Linked DNA regions of Coturnix japonica. The protein of the gene in region 6 interacts with the protein of the main gene of each other region in a pairwise test. Links are inferred from orthologs where the notes say so. Each region holds a gene or a part of one and is shown on either strand. Other genes may lie near its edges.

The links.
Region 1: the proteins of LZTS2 (region 6) and NCK2 interact in binary tests that used the Homo sapiens proteins (3 or more experiments, as listed by UniProt). The two-hybrid records come from large-scale screens. The link is inferred for Coturnix japonica from reciprocal best matches to the Homo sapiens genes LZTS2 and NCK2.
Region 2: the proteins of LZTS2 (region 6) and TRIM29 interact in binary tests that used the Homo sapiens proteins (3 or more experiments, as listed by UniProt). The two-hybrid records come from large-scale screens. The link is inferred for Coturnix japonica from reciprocal best matches to the Homo sapiens genes LZTS2 and TRIM29.
Region 3: the proteins of LZTS2 (region 6) and FAM161A interact in binary tests that used the Homo sapiens proteins (3 or more experiments, as listed by UniProt). The two-hybrid records come from large-scale screens. The link is inferred for Coturnix japonica from reciprocal best matches to the Homo sapiens genes LZTS2 and FAM161A.
Region 4: the proteins of LZTS2 (region 6) and ZGPAT interact in binary tests that used the Homo sapiens proteins (3 or more experiments, as listed by UniProt). The two-hybrid records come from large-scale screens. The link is inferred for Coturnix japonica from reciprocal best matches to the Homo sapiens genes LZTS2 and ZGPAT.
Region 5: the proteins of LZTS2 (region 6) and USP2 interact in binary tests that used the Homo sapiens proteins (3 or more experiments, as listed by UniProt). The two-hybrid records come from large-scale screens. The link is inferred for Coturnix japonica from reciprocal best matches to the Homo sapiens genes LZTS2 and USP2.
Region 7: the proteins of LZTS2 (region 6) and FKBP6 interact in binary tests that used the Homo sapiens proteins (3 or more experiments, as listed by UniProt). The two-hybrid records come from large-scale screens. The link is inferred for Coturnix japonica from reciprocal best matches to the Homo sapiens genes LZTS2 and FKBP6.

Annotation. Positions count from the first base shown.
Region 1 is NC_029516.1:122,011,144-122,015,190, reverse strand, and holds the start of NCK2 (cytoplasmic protein NCK2), read right to left. Parts: upstream 2,801-4,047; 5' UTR 2,717-2,800; intron 2,004-2,716; exon of another isoform or gene 1,726-2,003; intron 1-1,725. UniProt on the Homo sapiens protein: Adapter protein which associates with tyrosine-phosphorylated growth factor receptors or their cellular substrates. Maintains low levels of EIF2S1 phosphorylation by promoting its dephosphorylation by PP1.
Region 2 is NC_029539.1:3,284,007-3,287,506, reverse strand, and holds part of TRIM29 (tripartite motif-containing protein 29), read right to left. Parts: intron 3,379-3,500; coding exon 3,283-3,378; intron 1,721-3,282; coding exon 1,487-1,720; intron 1,164-1,486; coding exon 965-1,163; intron 1-964.
Region 3 is NC_029518.1:13,374,259-13,377,021, forward strand, and holds the end of FAM161A (protein FAM161A), read left to right. Parts: intron 1-127; coding exon 128-611; 3' UTR 612-2,263; downstream 2,264-2,763. UniProt on the Homo sapiens protein: Involved in ciliogenesis.
Region 4 is NC_029535.1:9,383,828-9,388,021, reverse strand, and holds the start of ZGPAT (zinc finger CCCH-type with G patch domain-containing protein), read right to left. Parts: upstream 2,801-4,194; 5' UTR 2,706-2,800; coding exon 2,089-2,705; intron 1,362-2,088; coding exon 1,228-1,361; intron 697-1,227; coding exon 538-696; intron 1-537. Other genes in the region: ARFRP1 (ADP-ribosylation factor-related protein 1), read left to right, coding at 4,192-4,194. UniProt on the Homo sapiens protein: Transcription repressor that specifically binds the 5'-GGAG[GA]A[GA]A-3' consensus sequence. Represses transcription by recruiting the chromatin multiprotein complex NuRD to target promoters.
Region 5 is NC_029539.1:3,556,091-3,560,300, forward strand, and holds the start of USP2 (ubiquitin carboxyl-terminal hydrolase 2), read left to right. Parts: upstream 1-1,410; 5' UTR 1,411-1,624; intron 1,625-2,668; 5' UTR 2,669-2,743; intron 2,744-4,043; 5' UTR 4,044-4,084; coding exon 4,085-4,210. UniProt on the Homo sapiens protein: Hydrolase that deubiquitinates polyubiquitinated target proteins such as MDM2, MDM4 and CCND1. Isoform 1 and isoform 4 possess both ubiquitin-specific peptidase and isopeptidase activities.
Region 6 is NC_029521.1:20,199,742-20,203,838, reverse strand, and holds the start of LZTS2 (leucine zipper putative tumor suppressor 2), read left to right. Parts: upstream 1-1,297; 5' UTR 1,298-1,517; intron 1,518-1,606; exon of another isoform or gene 1,607-1,699; intron 1,700-2,254; 5' UTR 2,255-2,293; coding exon 2,294-2,725; intron 2,726-3,115; coding exon 3,116-3,685; intron 3,686-3,885; coding exon 3,886-4,097. Other genes in the region: TWNK (twinkle protein, mitochondrial), read left to right, coding at 155-415. UniProt on the Homo sapiens protein: Negative regulator of katanin-mediated microtubule severing and release from the centrosome. Required for central spindle formation and the completion of cytokinesis.
Region 7 is NC_029534.1:197,457-199,716, forward strand, and holds part of FKBP6 (inactive peptidyl-prolyl cis-trans isomerase FKBP6), read right to left. Parts: intron 2,233-2,260; coding exon 2,113-2,232; intron 1,509-2,112; coding exon 1,314-1,508; intron 1,008-1,313; coding exon 898-1,007; intron 1-897. UniProt on the Homo sapiens protein: Has an essential role in spermatogenesis. It is required to repress transposable elements and prevent their mobilization, which is essential for the germline integrity.

The DNA.
Region 1 (4,047 bases), on a different chromosome or scaffold from region 6:
CATGTCAGCAGCCACACACACACACACAGAAGAAGGAAAAAAAAAAAAAAAAGAAAATTGAAAAAAAAATAAATAGCAAAGCCTGGAAACAAAGCAGATGCTGCTGACCTTGTCCCTCTTCTTTAGCACACAGTACATGAGAGGTGACACATAAGAGCGCAAACACCTTTAACGCTACCACACAGCTAGGAAAGAAACTAGGGAGAAAACAGGAGGAAGGAGAGAAAAGGAATGAGTTCCCTTTTCAGCACAGAAACAAGGCAAAGGCCGGAGCTTTGAACTGATTATATATTTAACAATAAGGACTAACATAAGGGACTGTCCAGACAACCACGGACTAACTCTGCTCCTGTTTTTGGAGGAACACAGCAAAAGAGGTAACTGTAACAGCAATTGGAAACACTATCTTGCAGAAGTAAAAGGCTCATAGGGGCAGCTAACCATACACTGACAGAAAAACTGCGAGGGGAGCTGATGGTATAATGAGACCAGATCTGCTTCATGGCCTACATACAGATACTAGCTAATTACAACTGTGATCTTAGCAGTACAGGTGCCTCCTATGTCTGCATTTATGCACTGCTCCCGAAAGCAACACTGCCTGGCTAAGTTTCAAGGAGAAAGTCAGATATGAGGACATGGCTGCTGATGCTGACCAGGGTGGGACACCCAACTTCAACTCCAGAGCTGAAAAATACCAGTATCTGTGAGTCACAAAGTGATTTCGCTCCAGCTCTAGTCCTACGAACACACACACAGTACCACAAACACCTCCTCTGCGGTACTGATGCTGACAAGCAGGGGCAGGAACGCATTCAGAAAGAAGCCCTGCATGAGCTCTGCCCTTTTGAATGCCTCCATGCCCGGCTCCAGATGACATTAGCCATGCACAGGCTGAACCATGGAGGTTTGTTTTTATAAAGGGCAACGGCGTGTTCCATGTGAGGAACCCGCACAGAACGTGCGGCTGCCACAGCACTTTCTCAGGAGCACACACATCACCGCACACAAAAGGAACGGAGTTCGCTCAAGTTTTGAGCTAACAAAAGAACACGGCAACGTTCAGTCAATTCACAGAATAACTCTGATGCTCACAACGAGCCATAAAGCCGTAAAAATAAACCCCGAGCCAGCAGAACCGAGGAGGCAAACTCCACAGAGGACTGGCAGCTCCCCGTGCTCGGGCAGCTTCCTACACAGGGCACGGCGAGGAGAGGAAGAGCCAATTCCCACCCCAACCCCCCGAGACGCGCTTCCTGGGCACGCAACGTGTCATCCCAACTTTTTTTTTTTTTTTCCCCTTTCCTTTTCTTTCCTTTTTTTTGTTGTTTAAAGCTCGATGCCGTTTAAGCGGCCACTGCTCGACAAAACCCTCGGCAGCCGCTTACCAGAATATTCCCCGCGGCCCCCGGGTCAGCCCGTGCCCGCACTGCCCCGCACACCGCCCCCACCGCAAAACTTTCCGGCCGTGCCCCGGCTGCGAGGGACCCCTCCGCCTCCCCGGGCCAACTTCTCCTTTGTGCCGCTCTCCCCTCGCTGACACAAAGCGGCGGCTGTCAGGAGCCCGCCGGGCCCCTTCCCTCACCACCCCCCGCCGCCACCTGCCCCCTCCCCGGGGAGCCCCCGCCCAGGTGACCCCCCTCCGCCCTGCCCCCACCTCCTGTCCCCTACGGCCGACACAAGTTTGCGGCGGCCCCGTCCCGCCCTCCCACGGGGTGCGCTCACCTCGGCCCGGCCCGGCCGGTGGGAGCGGGGCGGAGCGGCGCGGGGAGGCTCCCAGCCCGGGCGGGCTCCGCTTCTTTGTCTCCTCGGCGGCGGTACCCGCTCGCTCGCTCCCCCCCCCTCCGCTTCCCTCTTCCCTTCCACAAGCGGATGCGGGCTGCGTGCTCCGAGAGGGGCCGGCTCCCCCCCTTCCTCTTCCTCCTCCGGACGCGTCCAAGGCCCCGGCCCTCGGCGGCTCCGCTCCTCGCCTCCCTCAGCCGGCGGCGGCCCCGGCCCCTCCTCCGCCCGATCGACCGCCCGGCCCCCACCTCGCACAGCCCCCGCCCCCGCCCTGCCCTTCCTGCCGCTGCCGCTGCCGGGATCGCGCGGGAGGAGCTCCCCGGGCTCCCCCTCGCGCTCCGGGAGTGCCGGCGCTTCCTCCGCCCGCCCCCGCCCTTCCTTCCCCCACCTCCAGCAGCAGGAAGGCCCGGCCCGGTTGGGGGCTGGGGGTGCCTCCCAGATCTCCGGGGAAAGTGCTCAAAGAAACGGGGGGAACCCGCTTGTGGTGCTAGTGCTGGGGCTGTTACCTGCTGTCCGTGTGGAGAAGGCATCCGGCGTGGAAACTGTCCCCTTCAGTCCCTTGCTGCGTGCCTTGGGCAGGTGTGAGCCATAGGTGCATCTCAGCACCCCCCTCCCTCGGCAGCCTTTGTGTTGAAGTTACAGAGCTGTTGGCTTTCTGCCCATAGCAGAAAGCTTCTGCCACAAGATTGTGCCCTTCTGGAAAACTGCTGTGCCACTCCATGCACAGAATCACAGAATAGTTTGGGTTGGAGGGGCCTTTAAGATCATCTAGTCCCAACCCCCTTCTGTAGGCAGGGACACCTCCCAGTAGACCAGGTTGCTCAAAGTCCCATCCAGCCTGGCCTAGAATGCTTCCAGGGAGAAGCTTCCACAACTTTGCCAGGCATGAGTGCTGAAAGCCAGTATTTCCCACAAGGTCTTCAAGATGACTTACCAAAAGCTGATGTTGAGGGTAAAATCAATGGTGGGATGAAGGACTGACTCAACCTGCGGCCTCATCAAGTAGTGCTGTGGGACCCAGTTCCAGCCGCAGCCCTGTGTCACAGAAGAATAGAATAACTTGGGTCAGAAGGGAGCTCACAGACCACCCAACCCCACCCAGTGCCATGGGCAGGGCTGCCCCCCACCAGCTCAAGCTGCCCAGCACCCCATCCAACCTGGCCTTGAGCATCTCCAGGGATGAGGCACCACAGCTATTCTGAGTGGCAATGCCAGCACCTCGCCATCCCCTGTGTAAAGAATTTCCTTCTAGCATCTAACCTAAATCTCCCCTCTTCTAGCTTAAAACCATTCCCACTTGCCTAGTCACTGTTAAACTGCAAAAAGTTGATCTGCCTCCTGTTGGTAAGCTCCCTTCAAATACTGAAAGGCTGCAATGAAATCTCCCTGGAGCCTGGTCCACACTGAACAAGCCCAGCTCCCTCAACCTTTCTTTGTAAGAGAGGTGCTCCAGCCCTCTGACAACATTCATGCCCCTCCTCTGGGCCCATTCCAACAGCTCCACATCCCTCCTGTGCTGAGGGCCCCAGACCTGGACATGATACTACAGATGAGGCCCCACAAGGGCAGAATACTTGTGCTAACCCACTATGTGTCTTTGTGCCACTGGCAGATTGGGAACTGGAAGGGTTTGTCCTTGTGGAGGCAATCAGGGAGTTCAAAAAGGAAAAATCAGTGCTGCAAGAGGAAGTCACTTTGAGACACTGTAAAACAATTGACTTTTCAACACAAACCTCTCTTAATGAAGAGATTTGAGCTCTACCAGTGCTGGTTTAGGCTTTAGCTCATTATTCATTATTAAATGCACAAACCCAAAGCAAACTTAGCAGTATCAACAAAATTCTGTCTTGTTTCCCCAACTAACATGGAACTTAATGGAGAGGAACTTCGTACCAACTTTCAACCAGTTACAAAAATACATATCCTGAGATTTTGCTGTGTTTTGGTTTGAAATAGTTTAGAAGTCTGTGAATAATTCCCTCTTCTCCTTGCAAACTTCTACCTGTTCTTTCAGCATTTAATTGATGGTTTCGGAAGCCTCAGTTGCCTTTCACATGCCTGCTAGATAAAACTGAAAGGAAAATGTGGCCTCTTGTTTCTTCCACGAAAGACTAAGTGTGTACCTCAGGGAGGAACGGAAAGCCCCTTTCTTTTCAGCTCCTTTCGTGCTCACATTTGACTTTGATTTGGAGGAGTTTTAATCTCCCTTTGTGAACCATAACCTGCCCCGGCTTTTTGAGAGCTGGGAAATATCTGGGGTCTCAG
Region 2 (3,500 bases), on a different chromosome or scaffold from region 6:
CTTGAATTAAATGCAGGCTCCTTGGGGCCAAGACTTGCTCTTTCTCTTCCTAATGAAGGAAGGCAGCACTCTATCACTTGATGAATGCAGTGACTCTCATTACACATCCAAATGTACTCTGCTCCCATGTCTCCTTCATTCTTACTGCTCTAAATCATGAATGTCAGGCTGATTCACAAACATCAGCCTCTGAGAAACACTGTTTGTTCTCCAGTAACATGTCCCATGTTGGTCTGACTCGTGCTTCTATTTGCTTTTTCAGTTGTTTCCTCCCCATCTCTTTTATCATATCATCTTGTAATGTGCATCTGTCTTTTGTGGAAGCTGGAGACATTGTGGTGATCTTTTGTTGTGTGAAATGGGCTTCAAGTCTATTCCTACATCTTTTTGAGCCACCTCTTCTGGACAGCAGGCTGCAATTTATCCTCAGGTTACCAATCCAGCTTCTTGACCTTTATTGCTCTGCTATCTGCGGTCCCACAATTAATCATAATTTAGACCTTCCTCACAGCCTGGCGAGACAAGGATTTACTCCCATCCCTACTATTCTTAGTGCAAGAGGTCATTTAATGGGATTAAGTACCATGCCCAAGGTCACAAAGGCTGTTTGTGGGACAGCTTGGAAGTGAAACATGGTTATGGTGTCCAGTCTCACAAACAAGCTTTATGCAACACAAGTCCTCTGCAGAACTGATGGGAAGAGACTGAAAGAAAGTGGGTTCAAAGCCTTAGAAGATTCCTTGCATTGCTGTGGTATTGACCATACCCTCCCTGTTTACATAAGAAAGATTGCTCATCCTTAATCACTCCAGGAACCCATGAGCTCTGCATTTCCCTGAGACAGGAGCTGAGGAAGCACAGCTCTGCTTGGTGGGACCTTTCTTATAATCCCACCTCCTCTTTTACCCAATGAGCTCCTGAGCCAGGCTCTGCCCAGGTATGGGACATCTCTGGGTTACTTTACCATTCTCCATGTGGTTCCTCTCGATGAAGTTGCGGCCAAGGTCTGCTTTGCAGATCTTCTCCACGTGCCTCATGCAGACATTGAGGAGGTCATCGCGGAGCAGCCCCATGGAGGGGCTCATGCTCTCCCCTTCGAGCAGCACGCTGTACGTAGGGAGGGAGGGAGGGGGAACGTAATTCCTCATCAAAGCCCCAAACTCCTGTCAAAGAGAGGAGAAGAGAGATTATTCAGGAATATAAGGAGAAATCCCGAGAAACTGTCTATGTCAGGCTCCAAATAACACAAAGAGGGAGGGAGAATAGTGAAGATGGATGGGAGGTAGTCAAATGCTTTGGCTGTGTGCTCTAGCCACCAAAACAAGGAGGAAAAGAGGGTTTGGCATGCTGAAGTTCATGCTTCATGGGAGCAGACACAGCTTGAAATGCCAGGGCTGGTTCCTCACGTACATATGCATTGAACTGGAACAGACAAGTGCTTCCTATGATGTCTGAGAAAAGGAAAAGCAAATGAGGTCTTTCTGACCTGGAGGAAGAGCACGGAGTCACTGATCTGATGGATCTGCTCCCTGTTCTCCTTGTCCTCCCGCAGCAGCTTTGCCCTCTCTTCCAGCTCATCCACAATCTCTTTCACGTTCTCCGAGGCAATCTTTTCCCTCTGATCCAGAGCAGCCTTCACTTCATCCCTCTGCCTCTCCAGGTCCCGGATCAGCTCCTTGAAATGCTGATCTACCGTTGCTTTCTCATTGGTGGTGTAGTTCTGTGGGGGCAAGGGAAGGAGAGGGAAGGCAGCAGAAAAGACACAATAAATGGTGAGAAACAAGAGGTGAAATCTCGCGTGGAGCCACTTGCTAATAAGGGATGTTGGTGGGGTTGCATCCAAGCACTTGATGGAACAGGAGGGGAGGTTCAGATTGGATATTAGGATGAATATATTGTCAGAAAGAGTTATTGGGCACTGGCACAGGATGCCCAGGGAGGTGGTGGGGTCACTGCCCTGGAGGTGTTCAAGGAAGGGGTATGTGTAGTACTGAAGGACATGGTTGAGTGGGCAATATTGGTGGTAGGCGGACTGTTGAACAGATGATCTTAAAGATCTTTTCCAGCCTTCATAATTCTATGATTCTCAGCATTGGGACTATGACTATGGAGACTTTAGGTATGCAATCCTTAGCACCAGAAAGCTATGCTAAGATAAGTAATATGAATTCTTGCAGTAAGTGTGTATATAGATAGTGCCTGCTGTCTTCCTCATTATAATAGCATCTCTTCAATTCGTGAGCTGCACTCCTAAGTGATATTTAAAAACAATGTCTAACTTTCTAAATCATAACTCTGGCTCCTCCAGAATTTAAGGACCAAATTCTCTCCATTTCAGTAGATGAAAGCTGCTGAAACACTTCCCATCAACCTCTCTCCGTCCCTCTGAAATACTCCTCAGAATGACTATGGATGTAACTATATTCAGAATTACAATTTCTAGGCCACATTTCCAATAATAGTAATAGTGGTGGTAATAATAATAATAATAATAGAGGAGACAAAAAGCAGAACTGGCAAGCCAGTGTGTGTGTACCACATAAAAGGGAGAAGAACGGCTTTGCTTATTAATATTATGCAAATTCTCTGGGGTGTCTTCAAATGGTGTTTTCACTGCTCTATTCAGTTAGGGTGTAAATTAAAGAAAATAAAACAAGGCACCGTGACTATATTCTAACCCTCGTGTGGTGAGAGGATTATAAAGGAGACCTCTATCAGTATGGAAATGAGCTGTTCCACTATAAACAAGGCGTAGCTACACCTGGTTGCTTTAGAATCATAGAATGGTTGGACTGGGGGGGGGACCTCAAATATCATCTAGTTCCATCCCTCAGGGTCGCCCAGGATCCCATTCAATGTGGCTTTAAGCACCTCCAAGAATGGAGGCGGGCAATCCAGAGCACTTCTGGAGTTGATTTTCTAAGTGGACCAGCAGGAGAAAGGCAGCATGCTTTTGTTTCCAAATGGACCTGGTTGTTGGTGATGGTAGAACCATAGGAACCTAAAGCAGGGAGGTGTCCCGAGCCATTTCATAACAGGGCTGTGCAGACTTCTCTTGCCTCCTGCAGGATGTGTTGCAAAATGACTTCAGTATGAGTTGTTGTTGCCAAGATGTAGCGTGAATGAGTGTTGGAAAGTGATGAGGTAGAGGCTAGGTAAGGAACGGAGTGAGTAAGAGCTGGATATGCCAGGAAAACTGAGGGAAGAAAGAGTGATGGGAGAGACTGGAAAAGAAAGAGACAAGCATAGGACAGATGGAAAAGTGAATATCCCCCCACGCACCTTGATACGGTCCCTCTCCTTCTGCCACTTATCCACTTCATCTTCAACCTCGATGATCTTCAGCTGCAGTTGCTCCTTCTGCAGCGAGAGCTCAGCCTGCAGGAAGAGAGGAGATGCATAAGCAAGGGCTGCATGGCGTGCCTTGAGGAATGCTGTGCTGCATTACATTGCAGTACAGACTGCTTGGCATTGCTTGAGGTGGAGACAGGGGATAAGGT
Region 3 (2,763 bases), on a different chromosome or scaffold from region 6:
TTCCCAGTTCTACCCCAGCCAAGGGTGCCAGGATTGGCCCTAAGTTACCTGAGTGTGTAAGTCTTTTAAAACCTCCTGGAAAGCATTCTGTCTGAGAATAAAAATCCCATACAAATTGTTTTTACAGAGTCAGCAAGGATCAAGTGAAAGGAAGGGAATTCTTTGAGGAAACAGCCAGCATCAGTCCCCAGTCTGAGCAATCCTTTGAGGAAGAGAAGATAAAAGGCATCAGAACTCCCAGCTGGGATGGTGAATCTGCTGAGGGGGAGGAAGAGGAAGAGACACCAGCCAGCCCTCAGGTTCAGCAGCCTCACTGTGAAGAGGAGGCCAGATCCAGCCCCACCTCCAACCAGCACTGTGAAGAAGAGGAGCAGAAAGAAGAAAAGGAGGAGGAAGAAGCAAAGGCAGGCCTTCTGCTTGGCCATTCCCTGGAGGAAGAGAATGAGGAAGAAGAGGATAGGTCAAGACCCAGCTCTCAGTCTGGTCAGTCCAATGGACAGCAAGAGGAGGGTCAGTCTGACCCCGAAGCTGAGGGTGCTTTCCAGTATGAGGATGAGGAATATGAAAGTGATGATTCTGATGAGAAGCCCAGTGATGAGGAGGCTGACTGAAGGGAAGGCAGATAGGGCAGCCTGGTGCTCTGGAACCTATTTCATTGCTGGCATTGAAATAGATACCAAAATCATGTCACAGAATTGTAGGGGTTGGAAGGGACCTCTAGAGATCATCGAGTCCAACCCCCCAATGTTTTTTACTACTAATATAAGAAAAACAGTGAATTTAAAACTCTTAGCTTAACAGTCTTTCCAGCACAGAAATTGTGTTGATTTTCCAATATGAAAGATTAAGTTATTCATCCCCACCAAGAAAAAAATCAGTTATTTTACATTCCTCTTCTTTAATCTAGACTTCAGTGCCACCCATGCACTACTGTTCCTAGAGTTTTCAGCAACCAGTGTTTAATAATGTCTTGTGAACTGTGCTGTTAAGTACTGAGGTCTCAGCACATCCAGCAGTAACTTGCTCTTGCCTCCCCGTTTCAAACACTGAGGCCCTTTTGGGCTCTGTTCCTGCAATATCTTCTAGGACGGCAATGAAGCAACAAGGGTTTGTTGTCCAAGACCTCAGGTTGTGTTTAGTAGAGCAGCTACAAGGAAGACCATTGTGGTCAGACAAAACAGCCAAGCTTACCTGTTTGGCTCCCCCCTCCTGTCTGCTCCCACCAGCAAGCTGGATTGGCTCAATGATGGGCCAGGAGAGTGCCAGGGTCAGAGGAGAAGGAGGTGACTGCTTCTGGAGGAAACTAGTTGTTAGATGGGTCAACATGAATGTTTTGTGCAGCTAATATAGGAATAGTATTACTGTTACTGAAGGCTTGGCATATAGAGGAGAAAGAAATGCACTCAAATACATTGAGAGCCATCATTTTTAGTTTTCACTGAGCTCTAACACTGATAGAACAAGTGAGGTAGAAGAATAAAGCTTCCAAAAGTTGTTCTGCCCCTGATTAACTTGATATAAATGTGAACAGTTGCACAATGCAGCATATGGAGCAGCTGCTGAGGGATTTTGATGATCCCCATGAAGGATCTAAAGGACTTACCATGTTGTAAAGAGCAAACATTTCAGGGCAGCAACCTGACTTCCAAGCTTCCAAACGACGGGTGAATGAGTTGCATTAATAGGTGTTACTTTTGCTCTGTGTCACTCATGTCACTCGTTGCTATATCTTAAGGAATGCAACATACAAAGACAAACAGGCACTCAGTTAGTATCATTTGTTTAATAAAGTCTCCTCTGTTTTTAAAAAAGTGTACAAGACAGCTGTGTTCTGCATGACAAACAACTAGCATCTGATCTTTCCTTTTAATAACTTAAGCCATGCAGAAAGACTAGCCTGCCTAACTCAGTGTTACACAGCAGCTGAACAATATGCCCAAATACACACAGACCTTCATGCTGACATGGAAACAGGTAGCACGTGACATCACAGAGTGAGGATCAAAGTACAAGCTTGCTCGAATGGTTTTTAGAATTCAAGTGTAAGTTTAAGGAAAACCCCTGATTTATTTTTGAAATGTAGCTTATGTACCCAGAGTGAATGTTCTGCTACAACCTGCCTATGGCTATCCTTTATTCGGCAGCCATGTGAAAACACATACACAGAAATGTTACAAGTCCCTTTTACTACCGGTACTACACATTAACAACTGAATCTGATAGCATTGCTTTGGTTGTTTCAATACAGAATGATGTAAGTTTCTATTGTCTTAGCTCTGCTTTTCCGTTTTTATCCAAAGTCCTCAAAGAGCTTTGCTGAGGTGAATGTCTGTTAGGTCTCTCTTCAAGGATCCAATGCAGCTTTTGTATGAGAAACTGCGGAAGGCAAACAAACAGAGACATTACTATCATACAGGTAATAACACGAACTTCTATAAAGTAGTCATTAGTCCTCAATGTCTTGGGATTTCCCTCACCACTTGGGAAATTTGAGAAGGAGGGAGTGGAAAGATCTGAGCCACGTGTGATATTTCAGAGCATAAATCATATATACTGGACTGCACCCTAGGGATAGGAAAAGGAGGGAAAGGCTAGATCTAAACTTCACAGTGCTGTTCCTAATTAAACTGCCAAACGAGGGCTCCATTGTGCAGATGAGGGAAATAATGCTTTCCTGGCTTCTTGGAAGCTCAAAACCAGCAACACAGCACATTTATTTTATGAAAATAAAAATAATTAAACAAAGGAAAGCTGCAGCTTCCA
Region 4 (4,194 bases), on a different chromosome or scaffold from region 6:
CTGTGGCACATAATGTGCTTAATTAGTGCCTCCAGTGCATGTCAGTAGCATGAGGATTCTCTAGGCTACTATGCTAATGATGTGTTATTAGCACTCAATAATCTCCATTAGGCTGAATTTACTGAGCAATAGGACACAGCTTTGTCCCTGTGACAAAACAGGGGCACAGACAGAGTGCTATCTGTGTATGCTCAGAGAACCTGGTTCTGTTGGTGTCACCTCTTCATAGTAAAAAGCCAGGCACAGCTGTTACTCATCAAGACACTGGGAGGTTTGAATACCTGTGCCTGGGATCTCTTACTCCTGTTGTGTTATACAGCTCTGTGTAGGCTCCGGAGAGATTAGAAGTCTCCTGTTTTACTTGCTCAGCTCACACACCCACTTGAAAAACAGACTAAGAACTGGAACTCCATTATAAAACATTGCGCCCTCTACCTGCTGCTACAGAAACATTTGAGCTTCACCAGACTCATACTGGTGACAGAAGGCAGACACAGATCACAAGGCACTTCTCTCACACCCCCACCACCCTCTCACCTTTAGCATAACCAGAATCATCAACACTGTCTTCATCAGATTCAGCAGATGAGGCACCATCTTCGCTTCGTAGTGGGGGAATTATACTATCTCCTTCTACAACAGCTTCCTTTAGCAGCAGGGAATCAAACTTCACCGTGTAGTAACCACTGTCAATATCTACAGAAGGAAAAGCAAGAAACAAGAGTTCAAGTAAACTCTCAATACAAACACTGCAGAGAGCTTCCTCAAAGTTGGCTTCAGGGAATGATGCGGGAGAGGAGGAAGGCCTGAAGAACACGTGTTAAAACAGCTGAAGGCTTAAGAGATTTACTTATAAAAATAGAGGAATATGGGCTGTCAACAAATGGAACTAAAAAGAAGTTTGACTTACTCCCTCTGACCCAACAAGTGCCAAAGAAAAAAACTTCTCAGAACAGAGGGGAGCCTCTATCAACAGCTCCCAGATTACTGCAGTTCTACTCTAATATGCAATTGTATATGCATGTATATTTCCTATCCTATTCCCTTCCCAAGCCTGACACAACTCAGAACACGTTCTCAACTACCTCCAGATTTTTAGTTCAAGGCCACAGCTACATCCTCAAGTGTTTGCTATCATTAACCAAAACGGTCATACTTTGTAATTCCTTCAGCATGGGTGCTCAATCTCTACACAGCTCTGGCACAACACCCACAAACACCACTCACCAGTTATTTTGGCAGCATACCATATCCCATCACTGTGTTTGGCCAGGCAGGCTGAGCCCACCTCCAGGGTACTCAGATTGGGCTCCTGAAAAGGCTGAAGCTCCTCCACAGAGACCACCTGGCCATGTGAAAACCTGCCAGGGAAGACAGAAAAGGAGTCAGATCTACCTCACTAGAAAGGGCTTGAAATATAAACCCCTTCCTTCCTGACAGGAAACTCAAACAAATTGTCAGCAGTGATGAATCTGCATCAGAAGGTTTATCATGCATCATTTCAATTAAAGAAGTCATTCGTTTTTCACCATATTCATATAATTTATGCTGTGTAATAGAAGAAATAATCCCACTCCCAAGAATGAAGCTTTCCCTGATAGGGAGATCTCTGAAAAATCACAGATCTTTTGAGATAATGAGGACTGCACACAGACACAGAGATCTCAGCCTCCTGCTCAAAGCAAAGCCAACTTCAAAGCCTGATCAGGCTGCTTAAGGCCTCATCTGGGTTAGATTTGAAGCTCTCCAAAGATGGAGACCCCGCAGCTGGAACAAAGGTACCATCAACAGACAGCCCTGGGTGTTTTTGTTTTAACTCATAAGCCTGTGACTAAAGTAGCTATTGGAATGATCAGGTAAAATCTCTGCAACTTGCCCACAGGGATTTCCACTTCATATCTGCATTACCTGAACTGTCCAGCTCTTTGATACCACCTGTTACCATACATAATGGATTTTAATAACACTGCAAAATCCCATTGGTTACAACAGCCAGCGTGGAACACTCAGATGTTCCAGCCTTTGAATCACACGGCCTTTATCAGCAGCGAGGATACGAGCCCCCTCCCCCTCCATATTTTTCTTTACCGACAGTTCTCTTTAAATCTGCATTTGTCATCCAAGAAGAACGGGCACGGCTTCAAGGACTTGTGAGTGGGGTAGAGATACAGCACTCTGACACCTGCACTGCCATCTTCCAAGTACTCCGTCCCCACAATCATGGCATTATGATACTCCAGCGTCCCCCACGAGCTGTAATACGGCGCTTTAACCTTCATCCCACTCAATTCCTCCTCCTCCTCCTCTCTATCAGACTCTTCCTCGCTGCATTTCAATTCACTCTCCTTGCTTTCTTCGTCTCCCGTCGCAGATCTCTCGCTGTTATCAGCTGAGGGCTCACCATCAGTCCCCAGCTCAGCAATGGCTTCCTTGAAGGCAGCATATTCCTCATCCTGGGCACAGCTATCGGGATTTTCACGCTGATTTACACAGGAGGCGCTTGTATCCAACGCAGCCAACAACTTGCTCTTCTTCACAGCCACCAGGCTGGACTCGGTCAGTTCTATCAGCTGCTTTAAATCTTCTTGTAACTGAATCAGATCCGATCGCTGCGAGGGGTCCTGGCCCGCCCCCAGAGCCAGCTCAACCTGCTGCAGCTGGGCGTTGTAGGCCTGGATGGCGGCTTCCAGGCTCTCCTCATCCATTGCGAATAGAAGCCAGGCCCCGGTTTAGGCCTCAATCCGAACCTCCCCGCTCAGCTCCCGCACCCCCACAGCACGGCCGCCATTACGCCCCCCCCACTTCCGCCCTTCTGAGCAGCCACTTCCGGCTTTTCCAGCTGTCGCGCAACGCCACTTCAGCGACCAATCTCTCCGTAGTGCGCTTGCGCAGTCGGGCCCGCCCCACGCATCCGGCGCCGCTGAGCATTCTGGGAGTTGTAGTTTAAAATAACCCCACCTCCCCGCCATAGAGGCGGTGTGAGAACTACACTTCCCAGAGTGCCTCGCGAGGGACGGCGCCGGCGGCTGGTGTGGTGGGGGAGCGAGGCGGCGCTGGGTGACGGGAGGAGCTCCCGGTACCGGGTGAGGGGCTGCGGTGTGCGCTGTGCGGCCGGGCCGGGGCCTGCGGGGTACGGAGGGACTGTGGAGGGATCTGAGAGCTCAGCCGGGCTCTGAGGGGTGGGGACGGCGGGGAGGGCTGCGGGCTGTGGGGCAGGGGGGGTCTAAGGGGCGTTGTGTTGTGACCAACTGCTTGTATAGCGGGTGCTGCAGCAGCACTGCTGTTGGAGAGAGGAGGGTTTGGGATAGGTGAGGGTTCCTACACACACCGCCTGGGTACGTGGTTTGAAGTTAAAAGAGGGAAGATTTAGGTTGGATGTTAGGGGGAAGTTCTTCACTAGGAGAGTGGTCAGGCCCTGGAACAGGCCGCCCAGGGAGGTTGTGGATGCCCCGTCCTTGGAGGTGTTCAAGGCCAGGTTGGACGGGGCCATGGGCAACCTGATCTATGGGGTCTCTATGGGGTCTCTATGGGGATCTATGGGGTCTCTATGGGGATCTATGGGGTCTCTCTGGTCTCTATGGGGATCTATGGGGTCTCCTGGGCAACCTGATCTAGTAAAGGTGTATGTTTGGTGGCCCTGCCAGGCAGGGGGGTTGGAACTACATGATCCTTGAGGTCCCTTCCAACCCGGCTCATTCTGTGATCCTGTGATCTGGCTGTGAGCTCGGTTCAGCTGTTGAAGATCCCATAATACTGTCATAAACAAAGTGAGGGGGCACCAACCTGCACATTCCTGCTCAGAACACTCCTCTATATCTGCACACCACTGGCTTCTTTTCTACGAGTCTTATATGTTCTCTAAGTTACTTTCAAGCAGACTTTAGCTTGCTCTTAAGTCCAAGAGAGAACAAACTTTGAGTTGAGAAGTGAGTTCATAATGGATGCTGTGCATTGTGTGCTGAAACACAGGTTAAGCTACTTGGAAGATCATGTTTTGAACATTGGATCTTGAGCTGTTTGCACTCTTCCTTTTGTGTCTGTGATTTGTCCTAGGGTTGGCTTAAGAGTTACTGATAAACGAGTAATGTCACTTATTAATCTGATGTTGGGAGAAGTTTAGATCATGGAGTGGAAGAATTCTGGAGATAATCTGTTTGTTAATGATTTCCTGGCATCTGTTGCAGGAGCAGGATG
Region 5 (4,210 bases), on a different chromosome or scaffold from region 6:
TAGGAGGAGATGCTGGCAAGAACATCAGCTCTGAGGAGCCAACACTCACACTGATCTCCATGTGCAGTGCCTGACAGCTGAGAGCAACTCCCAGCAGCTGGTCCCCACTCCTTGCTTTTCTCCGGCCACCAAAATCTGCCTTCCACCCCCAATGCCTCTCACCCCAATGCCTGTTCCTGCCCGTCTCTGCCCGCTTGCTTTGCTGTCTTAGTGCTGCCCAGGCTGTACGTGGCCAGGGGTAGGGCAGAGCCCGGCCGACCACGCGGACACGTCTCCCAAGTCTCATTCTTTTTGTGAACATTTGTAGTTGTTTCCACAGCTTGTCGTCAAGGAGAGAAAAAAAAAAGAAAAAAAAAGGAGAAAAAAAAGGTAAAAAAAAAGAAAAAAAGAAAAAAAAATAAAAGAAAAAGAAAGAAAAGCCAACCTTACGAAAAGCAACAATAACGATAACAACAATACACCTGTCCTCCGGGAGTTTTCCTCTGTCTGCACAATAAAACCTTAGGTTGTGTGTTGGAGATGTGTGTGCAGTGAGGGGCTATAGGGGGGGAGGGCACGGTTTGCCCTGCTGGGGGGTGACCCCCTTCTGCACCCATCTACGCTTCCATTCTATACCAGAGAACCCTTCTCGGCTCATTGTGAGCTCAGGGTTGGGGCCACCTGCGCTATGGGGAGAGGGGCAGTGCAGGGTAGGTACCACCAGGTATCCGTGGGCATATGGGCACAGGCTCCCTTGGCACCCCATCTCCATCCTGCCCTGCCTGCAGCGTGGAGGCAGCCCAGTGGGCAGGGAGTGAGTGGGAGTGGGGTTGGACACAGGGCATATCCCCCTATGGGTGACCCCATAGAAGCCTCTGGGAGTCACACCCAAGCACAGACGTATCGGCCCTCCCTGTTTTGGGGCTGGAGCTGGGCAGCGGGGATGAAGATGCCACCATAATTGCATCCCGCACCTAATTATCGTCAGCAGGTGCTGGCTGAGTCACAGGCACCGCGGTGCCGGCTCACGGGGTGGGTCAGGCGTCAGGGAGAGGCACCCAGGATTGTGCCCTGATGTCCCCCTGTGTCACCATGGGGTTACAGGGGTGGGTGCTCCTGGCCCCCTCCCACAGGGCTCTTCTCCATGTAACAAAACCCAAAGCAGCTCCCCGTTCCCCTCTTACTCTTTATCAATCCATTCCCTCCTGGACCCCCATCTCCTTCCCTCTCCCCTCACTCACCCCCACAACCCCCCTTCCCCTCCCCATCCTTCCCATCTTACCGTGGGCCTTACCTTGGGCTCACGTCCCCTTTAAGCCTCCCTGAAGCTGGAATGCGAGAGGAGCATTTCGGCGCCCCGCGAGGTCAGATAAAGACTCTATATTTATCTAGCTGGTAACCTGAGCCCTGAATTTCTGCTGTGTGTTTTTTACGCTGCCCCACAACCCTCCGGCACGGCCCCTCCGGACCATTCCCAACTGAACCTCGGGGTGATCAGACCCTGCCACAACTCCCCCAACACCCCCCTGTTCTCCTCCAGCCCCTGGAAGAACCCCGAGGAGGGAGGACTGAAACAAGGCAGCCTCATGAGTCTCCATTCACCCCACACCGTGCCAACCTCGCACCCCTGAGCGCGCAGCCACTGGTGAGTGCAGGGAGCACAGGGGGATAGCAGCAATGGGGAGGGGGCTGCGGGATGTCAGTGGGACCCTTAACTCTGCCCTCTTTTCCCTTTGTTTGGGGTGAAGCCATGGGAAAGATGTTTTTCTATCTCCATAGAGGGTGGGACCATGCCTGGCACTTGGCCCCTGGGTGAGCACAGCCATGTCCCATCCACTTCCCCCCCCAGGCTCCCTATTCTTTATCCACCTGCAGACCTCAAAGCAGTCACCTTGGGCCCTCCATCAGGGTTCCACTGTGGGTTTGGGATTTTGCTGCCTTGGGGTGGCCCTGGAGCACTGAGCAGCCAGGTGGGGATGTGTCAGCGCAGTGACGCCAGGCCTGCAACACACATGTGCTGAGCTGGGTGCATTCTCAACCTGTGACTGCATGGGGAAAGCTCCCCCACCTTGCTTCCCTCCCAGCACCCTCAGCCCTAAAGCAGCCTGGAATGGGCAGGGTGTTCCACATGGGATCCCCCCCATTGCCTCCCCTATGGCATCATGCTGGGAGCTCTGCATTAACCTCCAGGCTGGGACATTGTGTCTCAGGGCACAGGGACAGGGCTCACAGCCTGCGTAAGTGAGAAGCAGCTGAGCCGTAACACCTCGGTTGGAGCCAGGGCTGTGTAAGCTGAGCTCACCCTGGGGCTCTGCAGCCACCAAGGGGGAAAGCTGCCACCGGGGCCACCAGTGTGAATGTCAGCTCACTCAATGCCTAGGAGACCAATGGGGATTCTATTGGGAATGCTGGGAATGAGCTCCCCAACATGAGCATCCCTGCAGTGCTCATGGCCACATGGCCACAGACCGGACATTCCCGTGCCTCAGTTTCCCCAGGGAGGATGATGAGGTTGCAGGAGTCCTGACTCAGCCATGCCAGCCTCAGGGTTTTGCTTTGCATCAGAAAGGCTCAGCATTATTATTGGGCAGGGAGGGGCCAGGCAGGTCAGGAAGCGATGGGAGGAACCGGGGTTTTTCTCACACCCCCTCAGCTCCTCGGGCTCATGGCACACTCCGCTCTCCCACAGCCCTGGGGTCCACAGCGATATGACATGGGGACAGCACGGTGCAGATCATCCTAGCAGACACAGCAGCCCTACATGGTAAGACCTCTCCTCCCATGATACCAGTGGGTTCACCGCTATGTCCAGGGCAAGATCCCCCTCCTGAGCCCCATATCCCTGCACATCAGCTCTCCACACCCCCAGGGCAGGCAGTATCCTCTAGGGATTAATCCCATGGACTGAAAGCCCCCGTTGGAGCCACAGGGCTCCAGCACCCTCATCCCAATGTCCATGGGAATGCTGGTCCTTGGCTGGGTCCCACATCCCCCAGCAAAACCCTACAGTATGCACTGGATCCTGGCTGGTAGAGCAGCTCCAGGGCCCTCCCAGTGCTGGCACGGATGGGCCAGGGAGAGCCGGGTGTTGGTGGCTTGTTTGCCTGCAAGGGGATTATTCACCCCTCGGCCTCAGTTCCCAAACAGGTCTGTGCGCTCTGGCTTGCTCTCGCTTGTAAATAGTTTCCTCTTGCTGCTCCCTCAGCAATAGCAGCCAGGACACAGCCCAGGGCCGAGGAGGGAGGATCCCATGGTGCTTGCACTCGGTGACCATCCCCATGCCCAGCTGTGCCCTGCATGGAAGGGATAAAGCCAGGCTCCATCCCATCACCTCCACGCTGCCTTGGAGTGAGGCCAGTGCCCGCCCCAGCAGGGCTGGGAAAAACCTCTGAGCTGGGTCATCTCCTGGGTGACAGGGGACTCTTAGAGTCACACGAACCACTGTCCGGCCAGGGAAGGGATGTGAGGCAGCACAGCCCTGGGACAGGTAGGAGACCTGCATCAGCACAGGAGAGAGCTGTCCTCCCTGTTTGTGGGAGGTTTCTTGCTGCCCTGTCTTTGACTCTGTGCTGGTTCCTTCTTTGCTCCGGGTGCCTCCTTCCCCCTCCTGTCCTGTGCATGGGTCACTGTGTGGGAGAAGCCACCACCCCCCATAGGACCCAGTGCTTGGCTGTCACACTGCCCTGCAGGCTGGCTGTGCCTGGTGACGGGGACACAGCGGTCACCTGCACTGCTGAATTATTGATGGCAGGCAGGCAGGGCACTGGCATGGCAGGCAGACAGGCTGTATGCTGCAATACGGTGTCCCTTGTTTGTCCCCACTGTCCCCAATGCCCCCTGGTGGGTGGTGGCTGCAGCTTGGCCCCAGGCACCGTGCAGGGAGCAGGGATGGATGATGATGCAGAGGCATCGGCTGACCATGAGTGCCCATTGCCATGCCCAGTGAAGCCCTAATTCAGTGGTATCAGGTCCCTGCACAGGGTCTCCAGGTGGGGGTCCTGGGGTGGGCACTGTCTGGTGTCAGTCATAGCCCATGCAGCTGAGCCCAGGCCCTTCTCTTGCAGCCCATGCCTCCTTCCAAGACCTCTGAGCCCCAGCCTCCAGCATGTCCCAGCTCTCCTCCACACTGAAACGGTACGTTGACTCGTCCCGCTATGCTGAGAACACCTACAGCAAGATGCCCAGTGGCTACAGCTCCTACACCTCCTACGGCTCCACTTATGCCTATGCA
Region 6 (4,097 bases):
TGTCCCCTGCCATCTGGTGGCACGCGGCTGATTGATGCTCATCAGCTGTGGGTGGGATGTGGCATGAGTTGCTCCGTGGGGTAGCAGGGAGGACGCTGGGTGTGGGGGTGCCCCGTGCCCTGCAGCACCCCCTGGAGATGTTCTCCTCCCCCAGGCCAGCCAGGAGGCCGACAACGTCCTCATCCTGCAGGACCGCAAGCTCACGACGGGTCCCGGGAAGCGCTACCTGCAGGTGTCCAAGAACCGCTTTGATGGCGATGTAGGCGTCTTCCCGCTGGAATTCAACAAGGCCTCGCTCACCTTCTCCTCCTACGGCAAAAGCAAGGCCAAGCTGAAGAAGGTGAAGGAGGAGAAGGCGCCTTCACCCAAGAAGGGTCCCAATGGAGGAGGTGTGGGTGGCTCTGGCAAGCCCTGAGTGTGGCAGGGACAACCTTGGTACTCGGGCACACCAGGTGCCGTGCGGCTGCGCTCCTCCTGAGCAGAGCACGATGCTGGGAGATGGGAGAGGAGTGGATGTGCAGGCTTTGGGGTCTCTGTACCCTGAGCAGGTCAATATAGGGTTGCTAAGTGGAGGCTGATGGCCCAGGTTTACCTCCCGCACGGTGTGGTGCTAGTGCAGCTCTGCCGGCTCTGAGCCCGGCCCCTCTGGCCACATGTACCACCAGCAGCAGTAGCAGCAATGCCTCAGGGACACAGCCCTGGGCGCCTCGGAGCCTCTCATGGCAAAACACTGTGTCTGAGCCAGTCCTCCCCAGCACAGGGGAGCCCGCCGTGGGCTTTTGGCCCATCCCTCTGTTTTCTTTACACTTTTATTAAAGCAGAGCTGTTCAAGCTGTTTGTCCTTCGCTGCATGAGCGTCCCCGTGCTCCCATCCCCCATCCCTCCAACTTTGGGTCCCATTCAGCCCCGTGTCCATGCTGTGCGTGGGGCAGGACGGCACAGCGGGGCCCCATGGCCCCACGCACACACACACCTCCCGCCCCAGCGCTGACCCAGCACCGGGCACCTCCCCGCCACCGCGCCCCACGGCTCCCACGCGTGGGGCCGGGAGGAGGCATTGGCCGCCGCGCCGGGAGCCGGGCCCATGGCGGAGGACGGGGATGTGGAGGTGAGCGGGACGCAGCCCCCCCCGTGCTGCCTGCGGGGCCGTGGTGCGGGCTGAGGCCCTGCCGCCCCCTGAGGGCCCTTCGCTGCCGTCGCTGCCCCGCGGCCCGGCCGTAGGGCAACCCCCTGCCGCCTCCCATCCGCCGCGGGGCCGGGGGCCGGGGGCGGCGGGGCGGGCGGGGCCTGGCGCGGGCCGGGCCGGCGGAGAGCGGCGGTGCGGAGCGGAGCGTGAGCGAGGGCGGCCGGGCCTGGGCCGGAACGGGCCGGTGGGACCCGCGGGGACACAGTGGGGCGCTACGGAGAGGAGGGACGGGGGGGGGCGGCCCTGACCCCGCTCTCTCTTCCTTTTCCCGGCTCAGGGGGCGGCGGAGTCGGGCCGGGACCCGCCGGACGGATGGGCCGCGGCCGGCCAGGTGAGAAGCGGGGCGACCCGCAACGGGAGAGGGGGCCCGGCGTCACCCCGGGGTGATGCTGGGGGCGGTGGAAGCGGGGGGCGGCCCCGGGGCGGTGCCAGCGCGGCGGGCGGAGCGCGGCGGCCCGAGCGCATCATGGGGCGGCCCGGCCCGGGTGGGTCCGGCTCGGCCCGGGGGGACGCGTCGGTGTGGAGCTCCAGGGCGGGGGGAGGGGGCGGAGTGGGGACCGTGAGCTGTGGGAGAGAGGGGTGTAGGGACGGGATTGGGGAGCGGGGTGATGTTGGTGCCGGGGTTGGGGGGGTTGGGGAGGAGGATGCTTCAGGATGAGGTGTTTGGGGCGTCTCTCTGAGGCTGGAGCTGAGGTATGGCAGTGTAGGCAGCGCTGTGGGGCAGAGCAGGGGTGCAGGACCGGGAGCAGTGGGGCAGAGAAGGCACCGTGACTGCTACGCAGTGGGGACCCTGCTGAGTGCATGGGGCTGCCCCTGTGGGGCTCTTCCTTTGGGCCCTGCACGGGAGCACTGGTGCTGCGTGAGCCCCCTGCATGCCCCGTGCCTCCCCCTGCTCCGGCTAATCCCAGCTTTATGCTGTTCTGCTCGACGCCTGCTCATGCCCGGCATATCTCTTGCAGCCATCCCACATCTGCCTGCGCCATTATGGGGGTCCTATATTCATTGGTGTCCTATGGGATGAGTGAGTGAGTTTATTGCTTAAGGCCTCACGTTGCCTTTCTTTTACAGGCTGCCTGCGCCCCCCTGCCCGCTGGGGGCCCCCCTGCCATGGCCATTGTGCAGACACTGCCAGTTTCCATCGAGGCCACGCCTGAGGCTGCTGCCCAGCTCCGCACTGCCACCCGCTCCCCCCTGCCCACCCACGGCACCATGGGCAGTGTGGGCAGCCTGATTGCCAGCCGACCATGCCACGATCGCTCCTGCCAGCCTGCTGGTGCTGGTGGTTCCTTCCGTGTGCAGGATACGCTGCTGCGAGCCAGCCCCCCGGATCCCCTGCTCCACACTTTGCCCCCCAAGAAGCCGTGCTCAGCCACTGCCCATGCCTACACCAATGAAGTTTTTCATGGGGAGTGGCTGGAGGCAGCCTCTCCCGTCAGCCCCTGCAGCGACTCAGACGAGGCACGGGATGAACAAGCCCCAAGTGGTGGCATCCGGGGGCCGCCCCCCAAGCTTGTCCCTGTCTCTGGCAAGCTAGAAGAGGTAAGGTGGAAGCAGTGCTGGGGGATCTGCTCAGCCCTGTGCTGCACTGGGGCTGCTGGGCTTGGGGAGACGTGCTGGTGCATGCATAGAGAGAGCACATGGTCCATGTCGCTGGGGGTGGTGGTGATCTCTGTGCTCCTGCTGCCCTCTTCCTCATGTCAGGAGTGGCCATGTGTGTGTGGGAGCCTGTCTGAAACTGCTGCATGGAGCAGAGGGCACCTAGTGGTCATCTTCTATAGAGCTGTGACACTCTGAGGTGTTGGGTGGGAGCAGAATTGGTGGGGTTACCAAGTCCTCCCTGGTGCTCTGGCAGCATCCCCAGCATCTGCCAGGCCACCTCTGGAGTGTACCTGGTCCCCAGATCCCACTCTCTCCTCTTTTGCCTTGCAGAATGTGGAGAAGACCCTGATCCGCCCTATGGCATTCAAACCGGTGGTACCCAAAGTCAGGGCTGCTCCGGGCCCGGCCAGCCAAGGGGTACGTCCAGGGGCTGCAGCATTATCAGAGAGCCAGGTGAGCCTCACCCACCTGCTGGGGACCACCGGGGCCGACAAGCCTGGCTCACTGAGCTGCCGCACCAGCAGCCACTCAGGCACGCTCTCAGACTCGGGACGCAACTCTCTGTCCAGCCTGCCCACCTACAGCACAGGCTGCAGCCAACATACTGAGCCTGGCAACCTCACAGCCACCCCTCACAGCCACCCTGAGCCCCCAGGTGGCTACCGCCCACCAGCCGGCCCCTCCAACTCGGACAGTGGGCGCTCATCCTCCAGCAAAAGCACGGGCTCGCTGAGTGGCCGGGGCCGGCCCTCCTCCGAGAGTGGCTCCTGCGGGCGCTCGCCGCTGCCTGGTGAGGAGGTTCTGCTGGTGCGTGAACTGGAGGACAAGCTGCGGGAGAGGGAGGCCGAGCTGCAGCAGCTGCGGGACAGCCTGGATGAGAATGAGGTGGCCATCTGCCAGGTAAGAACCATATAAGGGTAAGGAGAACCAGGGGAGCTCTCAGGGCTGGGGGTGCCCATATAGTCCTATTGTGTAGATTTGGGTTATGCATGCAGTGATGTGTCTGGGGAACCCCATGGAGATTGTAGATGCTGACTTGGGGAGACATGGAGGTGGTGTGGGATGTGGGATGTCCCATCTCAGCGTGTGCCTGTGCCCAGGTGTATGAAGAGAAGCAGCGTCGCTGTGAGCAGGAGCTGGAGGGTTTGCGGCAGCGCTGTGCGGCCCAGGTGCGACAGGCGGCCCAGCAGGCGCAGCGTGGGCAGCAGGTCCTGCAGCTCCAGGTGCTGCAGCTGCAGCAGGAGAAGAAGCAACTGCAGGAGGACTTTGCTCAGCTGCTGCAGGAGCGGGAGCTGCTGGAGCGTCGCTGCGC
Region 7 (2,260 bases), on a different chromosome or scaffold from region 6:
AAAACATTACCAGGTGAAGATCCTTAGCCCACAGACTGTCTCAAGTCATACCAGCTACTCTTATTTGAGATGTTACTGTTCCCTCCAAGCCTTACTGCAAACACCCAGCAGCAACACCAAAGAGGGCTCCTATTCAGGGCAGCTCTGGGATTGCTGAAGCTGGAGACTTCCTCCCTTTCTGTGCCCGTGAACAGTGCCAGAAGTACAGCACAACTTATGGGAACCAGCTGCTGGTTTTGCCAGTTTCAAGCAAAAGAACAGAGTGAGGATGGAGGCCAGTGTTAGTCATGTTTTCATGACTAGGGCATGACTAAGGCTGGTAGAATTGTGCTGTACTCAGTCTGCAGGCAAAGGGAAAGTCTGCCTTTGGGATTGCTCATCTGTTACTACCAAGACAGCAAGAAATTCACTTTTAAGATATTCCCACAGATGAACATCAGTATTTGTAGCATTGTACAGTGAAACACTTGCAGTGCAAAAAAGAGCTGTAATCAGCTGACGCATCTTAAAGGAAATGAAAACCATGTATTAATGTAGAACGTGATCTTCTTGAGTGCCAACCTACTGCATTTCATTGGGTTTGAGGTATCTCAGCAGCCCTCCACCTCCCTGCCATCGGCCTGACCCATATGGCTCAGATGGAGTGGATCACACCCCCCTTCTGAGAAACTCTATGGAACAAATGAATACTTTTAGCTTCTGACATATCACCTGCAACCACCCTGTGCAAGACCTTGAGTGAGCCTTTCCCACAATAAAAGACACTCTACATTTACTTACCCGACAGCTTTGGTGCTTGATTATTATTAATTTTCTAAACAAACCCTGGAGTATTTTAGTAGTTTTCATGGGATGCTTTCAGCTTGTCTAAGCACAACAATGGAAAGCAGTTCTCACCTTGCCAGCTTTTTCAGTTCGTTGTTAATGTCGCGGTTAAACGGCTCTATATGCTGAGCTCTGATCAGGAAGTCCCGAGCTTTTTCATACTCTGTCATGCAGAGACAAGCCTGCCATTGAAAGAAGACAGGTGCATTAAAAGATAAATATAGGTTTGCTGCTACCCTTTGGGACTGAGATACGTACAACTACAAACATGTCAGGGACAGATATAGGTACCTCAGGAATCCCTCAAGCAAAGATTTGTGTGACAGATTTACTGAGAAGCAGATTTTCAGATGCTGACGAATCACCTCCACTGCTGCAGGAGCTCAGGAGGCCTGGGCCAGAATTTAGTGGCTCTTCTGTTTATTACACAGCCAGTCAGGCTGGGTCACTGCTTGATGTGGCTACCAGAGGAATTTATCTTTGCCCACCTGACCACACCTGAACAGCGCCTTGACGTTTCTTCTGTCAATCTCCAAGGCTTTTTCCCCATACATCAGAGCTCGGGCAGGACATTCCAGCTTCAGGTAAGTAACTGAGAGATTCAGGAGCACCAGCAACTTGGAAGCATTAATCTGACACTGCTCTGCCTCACTGGAAGGGCTGCGACCAAGGATGGAGTGTGCCTGAGCAGAGAGGGAAAAGGACCAGCACACAAATCTACCATGAGAAATCCATCCCAATCAGCCAGCTACAGCCATGTTTCTCTTTATTATTTTTAACTGACCCAGGTTATCAGACTCCTAAATATACCACACAGTGCTATCAGCATGACTAACCAGCTCAGTCACAAGACTGCAGCAACCTATTAAGGAACTTAAAAGCATTGAAATAAAAAGGTACTCCCTAGGTAGGCTGGGGAGTCTCCATCCTTAGAGATGTTCATAGCCTAAATGGACACAATCCTGGGCAATATCCTGCTCTAGCTGCCCTCGAGCACGTGGTTAGGCAAAATCCAGAGGCTTCTTCCAGCCTCAAGTATTCTGTTCCCAACTGGGAGTCCAGAAGGGACTCCTGAAAGAAGGGTCTGCAGATTTCTGCCAACCCTCCTCTTTCATTTACTACTGCTACTTGTACAACAGCATCTCAGGTCAGTTCTTAAATAATGAACTACACCTGAATATATGATGAAGTCATATCATCTCTGCAGTGCACCTGTTACAGTGAGCCAGCACTAAATCACCACTTTCACAACTCACGAGTGAAAACACGTTTTCTCTTGTGTCATACCCGTTTGTATCTGTCTTTGGCACCATCAAAGCACTGCCTACGGAAGAGGTAATTGCCAAACTCTCTCTCCACGTCTGCGACTTTCAACACCTTTTGTAGTGGAAACGTATCCTGCTGCTCCTGTATAAGGAAATACCTCATTTTCAGC